Saccharomyces cerevisiae S288C: one gene and its partner. The protein of the gene in region 1 purifies or fractionates together with the protein of each later gene. This does not show direct contact. Each region holds a gene or a part of one and is shown in the gene's direction. Other genes may lie near its edges.

Region 1 (4,563 bases):
CAAGCAATGTCAACAGTTCTATTTGCTGAACATAATTCAAATGTAGACCACACTTAGTGATGTGACGGATAGCGGTGGAGAAATATCGGTGAGGTGGAAACCCCTTGTACTTACCTGTGGTCATCAGTAAGTAGGCGCTGATGCTGAAGACAAGCCACATTCTGCCGGATAGAAAATGAAATTCTATTTCAGAATACGAATGTGAATTCGACGGTGGTGCTGCGGAAGACGTGGCGGGAGAAGATGGTGGGATAAGAATCTTGTTGTGGAGGTAGTGGTCATAAAAAGTATAGATTTCTTGTTCGTCTAAGATAGGGTACTTGAATTGTAATCTTGTGAAAAAAGTGTCCAAGAAGGAACGTGACAGCTTCTCATTCAGTTCAAAAATAGGGTCATACATCAAAAACTCTTTTTTCAAATTGTATTTGGCAAAAATACACTTAGTGAAGTCCAGCGTCTCTAAAGGGTCATTCAAAAGGCTCGCGGATTGGCAGATAGCATTATTGTTGTTTATGTTGTTCGTACTGGCCGATGTATCGTTAGTGGCCGCATTAACGTTGCTGCCGTTATTGTTTGTGTTCTCCAGGGGTTTGTTGGAAGGAGATGGCAGCGGCAGTATGACCATATTGCTGCTGTTCGGTCTAGAGTAATCAGAAGTGTTGTTACTGAACAAATGAGAAACCTTCTTGTACTGGGATAATTCGTAGTTGTACTGGTTGCATCCCGGCGATAAATCGAGCAAAGTCTCCAAACTTTTTAGTTTTTTCTCCAAGAAAATCGTATACTGATCTTTGTCTTGCCTCATCAGGTTTGGATTGGAATTTGTCGTGACGGACTTTATCGTTTTCCTGAATTCATTCGCGTCGCCAGCATCAACATTACTATTGCTAGTGGAAATGGGTTTTATTATCGTCATGTCATTCAGAGAAGTGGCAGCGCCAGCGCCAGCGCCAATACTGCTATCTTGCAGCTCACGTTTTATTACAGGATGAGGTGTAGGAGGTACAGTGCCAGCTGTAGGGGTGTTGTTGTTGGTGTTACTGTTCGAAGTGGAAGAAGAGTACTTGGAGGGCTGCACGCACTTTATTCCTGCTTTCAAACAGGCGGTACAACTGGGTAATTTATGGTCGCATCGTTGCTTTCTTCTTCTACAAAGAAGACAAGACCTGGAACGGCCCTTTTTGTCTTGCAACAAGACGTCTGTCCTGTTACCGGCCAGCTCCAGTTCTCTCTTCAACTGTTGTATTTTCTCCTGGCTAACATTCTTCCTTGGACGGCCCATTATTATTTACGTGTATTGTTGGTAGTTAGCCCGAAGATTATGAGTACGTGAAATACACTTGTCTTTATGAAAGAGTGGAAAAATGGTGGGGAGTAAGTTATACTATTGACGTGTAAAAAAAAAAAAAAAAAAATGTTAATGGAACGACCGATCTAAAGAACCATATATAATGAATGACTAAAAAAAGCAAAATAGTTAAGAATCCAAGAAAGATACTAAGAAAAGGCGAAAAGAAAAAGAAAAAGTATGTCCGCTAACAAAGATTAGCGTATAAGCACCACACGATGCGATTCAGGTCTCAACGTGCAGTGTGCAGGAGCAGGAACTATTCAATGTATTGTTGTTCCAGGGTTTTTGTTCGCAACCCACGTCTTGACCGACGGTACCCGCAGGTGAAAATTTTAGCAAAGTTACACTTTTTTTTTCATTTTTTTTTTTCTTTTCTCCTCCATCTAATTTCACCTGCGGTTACCGGCGGAATAACTCGCGCACCATTTCTCTGTCTCGGGCCTCGCGTTCCTCTTTTTCGACTCGAGCGGCCTCTTCACGCTGCTCGTACTTCGCGACGCTGCGCCGGCGCTGCGAGCGTTTCTGTTGACGGTGCCACTGTAGAAGCGCCTCCTCTCTGGACGGCATCGTGTCGTACGACGCCGCAAGTTCGCGCGCGAGCTTAAGCCGGGCAAGCTTTCGATTTTGCTCACGTGACCGCGTTTCTTGGCACTCGACAACGATCCCAGTGGGTTCATGCCGTAGTTGTACCTTAGAATTACACTTATTAATCTTTTGGCCACCGGGCCCTCTGCCGCCATGAAGGAATTTCTCAGTGCATTGTGCTTCCATCTCTGGCGTGAACTTTGGTCGCGGTGGTAGCTTGTTCTTTTTAATCAGCAGCACTGCGGCACTGCTGATTGACCTCTTACTCGCTCCCCTCATCATAGTTTACTAGTCTCGGATTCTTCTGCGCTTTTTCCAGGGTCGCATAGCTTGTAGGTTGGTAGCATAGACTTATATATAAACTCATATCCGTTCTAGGAACGTATAGCGCGCTATGGTAGTCCGGGGAAAATGCACAGTTTAGTTAAGTGTATAGTAATTTTATCGATAAAGGAAGAATGGAAGAGGTTTATGTATACATGTAAACTCTGAACATCTAATAGACTAATGATGCGGTTAATACGTACATTGCCGCTTCGATGCTTCAAAACTAGAATACGGCGGCAAGGCTCGTTGTTGTGTTTGCGGTGCTTTAGTTCGTATTCAAAACCACTTTTGCAGAAATCAATGTCATTGAAAAATATCCAGTTATCAGACCTATCCTCATCGCCATTATCCAAGAACAAGGAGAAGCAGGAGAAGCCAGAGAAGGAAAACGAAGGAAAGCACTCCATTGGCCTGTTAGACAGATTTTCAGAGGACTTTATTACTCAGGGCAATGGATTGAAACCTACTACTTCACAAAATCAATTGGATACTATAAAGTTTTATCAAATGCTTCGTGAAAGAGGCAATTTTTCCGATGAACAATGTAAAATTATCATAGCTCTATTGTTGCAACTACTAAATGATCAGTTTTATTCCTGTTACAATGATTTGTTCTTAAGGGATATGGAGCTGAATAAACAATCACATTTGTTCAGCTCGCTAGAAACAGAATTGAAATTCGCAATTCAAAACTCTAGAGACACGCAACTAAATGAGCACCACTTGCAATTATTAAAACTCAAGAGAGAACTTAACTCAATCCATGATGAACTGAATGAAATCATAATAGATCTTTTGCAAAAGGACGCTAAATTAGAATTTAACAATCAAAAATTAGAAAACACCCTTTTGTATCGACAATTAAACCTGAAATTGAACGACTGTTCTAACAAGATTCAAACCAAGATACTGGGGGATATCAGGTCACATATCGAAAATTTAAGATGGCAGACAACCAGAAGCGGTCTTTTGGTAATATTAGTCCTTGTTTGTTCGATTATGATCGGTGTAAGCGCATCTAAGAAGGAACGCCCAGGTTTACAGGAACCTGAGGAACCTGAAATTTTAGCACCAAAGGAAGACATTGATACTACCTTCCCTCAAGATCAACATGATATAGATTAATTAGCATACATATTGTCTGTACATAAGTATATTGTGTGTGCGTTTTGTTTCACTGAGAAAGCGGACGTCATAAACGATGCTTCCTTTGTTTCGAGCCCAGCTGCCTAAATCTTTTTAAGGGCTCTCCATCTACCCAATACTTGAGAGATTCATTTACTTCCACTGAGTTAGCCTTATTGAATGCATCGATGTGGTTCGATTTCAGCAATTTTTTCATCCCTAAGCAACTGGGCAGGTATAGCCCTTTCACTTTCTCCCTCAATTCTTCTAAGACCTTTGCATTGAACGCTTCAGCGTTTGAAGATGGCATGTTAAAATTCTTGCTTATAAATCCGTTCTCGCACATTATATCGTACTTGAATGGTTTGTTGAACATGAGGCATTCATACGTCGTATTTGTGCCAAACTTCAATGGCAAAGAGACCGTTGTACCACCTTCGGTAATTAGTCCTAAGTTAGCAAAGGGGTATAGCAAATAAACCTTGTCATTTATACTGTACACAATGTCACATAACGCTACCAGTGCCGCGCTCAACCCTATTGCTGGTCCATTCAAACAGCAAATTAAAACTTTGGAATGCTTGATGAAGGCATCAGTGACATAAACATTTCTAGCGACAAAATTTGACACCCACTTGCTTGTTTCCGAAGGATATTTATTGGTATCATCCCCTTGGGCTTTTGCAATACCCTTGAAATCAGCACCACTGGAAAAAAATCTACCACTGCTTTGTATAATTGTAAAATATACATCACGATTTCTGTCCGCTAGTTCTAGTAACTCTCCTAAATAAATATAGTCTTCACCTTCTAGTGCATTCAAATTGTCAGGGTTCATTAAGTGAATAATGAAGAATGGTCCTTCAATACGATAACTGATTTTCTCATTTTGCCTAATTTCTTGCGACATATTGTTCTTCCTTCCTTTACTGTGCGAGCAATTTGTGCCATACACTCCAATTATCTATCCATATGTTCATCTTTCAGTTCTTATATATAGTGCTTCACTTTTATTAACCGCTCTTGGGGTAAAAGAGAAACGGTCACTGCTACAGCCTTTCGGAATAATATTTCTTATGCCCGTCGCCAATTTCAGATTCTTTCCTTCGTGCCGCATTTATTTTATTTTTCAAAATGACGAGAAGTTAAAATCTAAAATCAGGAAAAAGAACAGT
Region 2 (4,371 bases), on another chromosome or scaffold:
TCACCCAATGGATGAGCTTCTAGCAATCCAGCCCATGTCGCTAAGACGGTAAAAACACTCAACAGTACTGTACTTTTCATAGTAATTAACATCATCATAAAATACAAATTCCCTGATGCTAACTATTTGTTAATTTTATTGGTATAATTATAATTATTCAATACCAATTAAGGCTTCTATTAAAAGATCAAAAACATTCTTAAGAGTTCATACTGTTTCTCTACTCGTGTATAGTGATACCAAGACGTAATGACAATAATAGATGGAAATTGAAATATTATGAAACAGGAATAATATTCCGTTGAATTGTAATAGATGTTGTACACCTGCAAGCGAGCATGCTATCATTTTGCGACTATTTTTGGTCTGAAGACCTTGTCTCAGGTCTAGATGTGCTTTTTGATAGATTATACCATGGTTGTGAGCAATGCGACTTGTTCATTCAATTATTTGCGTCAAGAATGCAATTTGAAGTCAGTCACGGGAGGCAGTTGTTTGGTATAGAAGCCGGTATGGACAATCTGAAGGCAGTGCAGGAAGATGAAGATGAAGGGGTGACAGTTTCGAGGGCCCTGAGGGGAATTCTACAGGAAATGTCTCAGGAAGGGACGCATCACTTGACAATAGCGTCGAACATAGAAAGTTTGGTGCTGCAGCCATTCAGTAAATGGTGCATAGAACATAGGGAGAGAATTCAATACTCCGAGAAGACTTTGTTGACCAATGTAAATAATTTCAGGAAGTCTAAAAAGTACGTCGGTAAGCTGGAGAAGGAATATTTTAATAAATGTAGGCAGCTAGAAGAATTTAAAAGAACTCATTTCAACGAAGATGAGCTAGCAAATGCAATGAAATCATTGAAAATACAAAATAAATACGAAGAAGATGTGGCCAGGGAAAAGGATCACAGATTTTTCAACAGGATAGCGGGAATAGATTTTGATTATAAGACAATGAAGGAGACGCTTCAGCTGTTACTGACCAAGCTTCCTAAAACGGACTATAAGCTACCTCTCATTAGTTATTCTTTGAGCAACACCAACAATGGTGGAGAAATAACGAAGTTTCTGCTTGACCACATGTCGTTAAAGGATATTGATCAAGCTGAAACGTTTGGCCAAGATTTGTTGAATTTAGGGTTTTTGAAATATTGCAACGGTGTTGGTAATACATTTGTCAACTCTAAAAAATTTCAATACCAATGGAAGAATACCGCGTACATGTTTGCCAATGTGCCAATGCCCGGTTCAGAGGAGCCTACCACTGGTGAATCCTTAATATCCCGGTTCAACAACTGGGATGGTTCATCTGCAAAGGAAATTATTCAATCCAAGATTGGTAACGACCAGGGGGCAGCGAAGATCCAAGCTCCGCATATATCCGATAATGAAAGGACGCTTTTCAGAATGATGGATGCGCTTGCAGCGTCAGATAAGAAGTATTACCAGGAGTGCTTCAAGATGGATGCCTTGAGATGCTCGGTTGAGGAGTTGTTGATTGACCATTTGTCGTTTATGGAAAAATGTGAGTCCGATAGACTGAATGCGATCAAGAAAGCGACACTAGATTTTTGTTCTACCTTGGGTAACAAGATTTCTTCGTTAAGACTGTGCATAGATAAAATGCTCACGCTAGAAAACGATATTGATCCCACTGCAGACCTTTTGCAACTTTTAGTTAAGTACAAGACGGGCAGTTTCAAGCCGCAAGCCATTGTTTATAATAATTACTACAATCCTGGTTCATTTCAAAACTTTGGTGTTGATCTAGAAACTCGTTGTAGACTAGACAAGAAAGTCGTTCCGTTGATAATTTCTTCGATATTCTCATATATGGACAAAATATATCCTGACTTACCTAATGATAAAGTAAGAACTTCAATTTGGACTGATTCGGTGAAATTAAGTTTAACACATCAGCTTCGAAACCTATTGAACAAACAACAGTTCCACAACGAAGGGGAAATATTTGATATACTTTCTACGTCCAAGTTGGAGCCAAGCACCATCGCCAGTGTTGTTAAAATTTATTTATTAGAATTACCAGACCCACTAATTCCCAATGATGTCTCTGATATTCTTCGGGTGCTTTACCTTGACTATCCACCTTTAGTTGAAACTGCGTTGCAAAATTCTACATCATCTCCCGAGAATCAGCAGGACGATGACAACGAAGAAGGCTTTGATACCAAGAGAATAAGAGGCCTTTATACTACTCTGTCCTCTCTAAGCAAACCACACATAGCGACACTAGACGCTATTACAACTCATTTTTACAGATTAATTAAAATTCTGAAAATGGGAGAGAACGGTAATGAAGTAGCAGATGAGTTTACCGTCTCAATTTCACAAGAATTTGCCAATTGTATTATCCAGTCAAAGATCACCGATGATAATGAAATTGGTTTTAAGATTTTCTATGATCTACTGACACATAAGAAACAGATTTTTCACGAATTGAAAAGGCAAAATTCAAAAAATTAGGACTAGGCGATATAGATTTGTATATAATTTTATATAAAAGGAAATATGTACATCATTTTCTTTCACTGTAGGCAGCTGTTTCAAGTTCTTTTTTTATTGGAGATATAATTATTTACATTATTGTTATAGAGGACACACGAAAAAGCAAGAAGGGAACTATAAGAAAAATAAAAAATAATGAAGAATACAGATCTGTAATTAGTCATTTCAAGTGAGCGTAATAAGTAAAGTAAGGTAGAACGGAATAAAATGCTCAAGCGTATTGTTGGATTGCCTGCAAGGCGTTGCTTTCATAGAACGTCCTTTTTGCTGGGCAGTGACTTTGAAACTGTGCATATTCCCAATACGAACCACTTTAAAGATTTACTTATAGAGAACGGTAAATTTCAAGAGGATCAAGCAACTACAATAGTAGAGATAATGACAGATGCAATTAGGGGCGGGGTTAATCATGTTTCACAGGATCTGGCAAAGAGAGAAAAATTGACCCAACTTAGCTATCAACAACGTGTTGATTTTGCAAAGTTAAGAGATCAGCTATTGAGTGCTGATAGAAGTGAATTTCACAATATTCAAAACGAGTACGAAAGTGTGAAAAACGATCTGGAGAAACTAAGAAACAAACTAAGGGAAGAAATTACCAAAACAAACGCCGGTTTCAAACTTGATCTGTCCTTAGAAAAAGGCAGAATTAGGGAAGAAAGTAGTCATCACGATCTGCAAATAAAAGAAATCGACACCAAAATTGAGCAAGAAGTGACCAATATGAAGATGCAGATTGATTCTGTCAAGACTCAAGTCATGCAATGGCTGATAGGTGTCTGTACAGGTACATTTGCACTTGTATTAGCATATATGAGGTTATTAACATAGTGGCGACAAGCGAGGAAAAAGGGCTAGACTTGGTACTTGAAAATTGCATTTACGTTTTGTATAACACAGTTCAGTAAGAGTACACATTCAATAACGTAGTAAGAGTATATTTATTTATATAAGAAGGATAAAAAAGAATCACCAAACGGATCACAAATGGCATAATCACGTAGCAACCTGGAAATAAAGCTATAAGTTGAATAGTTCAGTCAAAATTTTGACGGTGTCATCAGGGGATTGTACTGAATGTCCGATGGTTCTTTCATCGACAAAAATTTCGTAATCGTTACCACCGACCATAGTCTTGTCACCAAAGAAATGAATTTCCTTGAAACCATCTTTTTCAACGTGTTGCAAACAGTAGGTCTTATCCCAACCAGCGGGGAAAACGTCGAAAGAGATTTGGCCACCAATGGAGAAAGTCAAACCGTAGTCTGGGAATTCCTTTTTCAAAGCTTCAACGAACTTGGCTCTGATTTGGTGTTCCTTATCGTATCTTTCGAATTCGTTTCTTTCCTCAGTAGAAGCATTTCTACCAATTGGGGAAACGTTGATCATACCATTTCTAAATTCCAAGAAAGTACCTCTTCTCTTTGGCAAGTCAATTTCAGATAGATATCTCAAAATGAAGACGGCCAATTTATTGTATTTTTCCTCACCGAGCCAGTTGATGAAGGATTGAGAAGCTAATTCCTTACCTAATCTGTAGGCGGTCAAACCATTTTCAGAGAAAGAATAGTCAAATTCATCTAAAACGTTTGGGCCTAACTGTTCTAATTGCTTGCTTAAGTCAGAACCACCGACAAAACCAATGCAGCACTTGTTTCTCAACTTGGCCAAAGTTTTTCTAACTTCTTCAGAAACAGTTAATCTGGCTGGTGTCAAGGTACCATCAACATCGAATAAAACCAAAGTTTCTGGTTTTTCCTTGTAAGCGAATTCAGCGATACTCATTATTGGTGGTTATATTAGCAGATAGGTAAAAAAGGAGAAAGAAGTACTAAGGAAATTGTCG

What was found.
Region 2: the proteins of PUT7 (region 1) and FMP32 purify together in Saccharomyces cerevisiae (affinity purification with mass spectrometry; 2 studies listed by BioGRID). This does not show direct contact.

What each region holds. Positions count from the first base shown.
Region 1 is NC_001144.5:702,743-707,305, forward strand, and holds PUT7 (Put7p), read left to right. Parts: upstream 1-2,443; coding exon 2,444-3,388; downstream 3,389-4,563. Other genes in the region: YLR278C (uncharacterized protein), read right to left, coding at 1-1,282; RSO55 (Rso55p), read right to left, coding at 1,751-2,218; ECI1 (dodecenoyl-CoA isomerase), read right to left, coding at 3,456-4,298.
Region 2 is NC_001138.5:40,083-44,453, forward strand, and holds FMP32 (Fmp32p), read left to right. Parts: upstream 1-2,732; coding exon 2,733-3,356; downstream 3,357-4,371. Other genes in the region: EMP47 (Emp47p), read right to left, coding at 1-98; GTPase-activating protein RGD2, read left to right, coding at 339-2,483; phosphomannomutase SEC53, read right to left, coding at 3,546-4,310.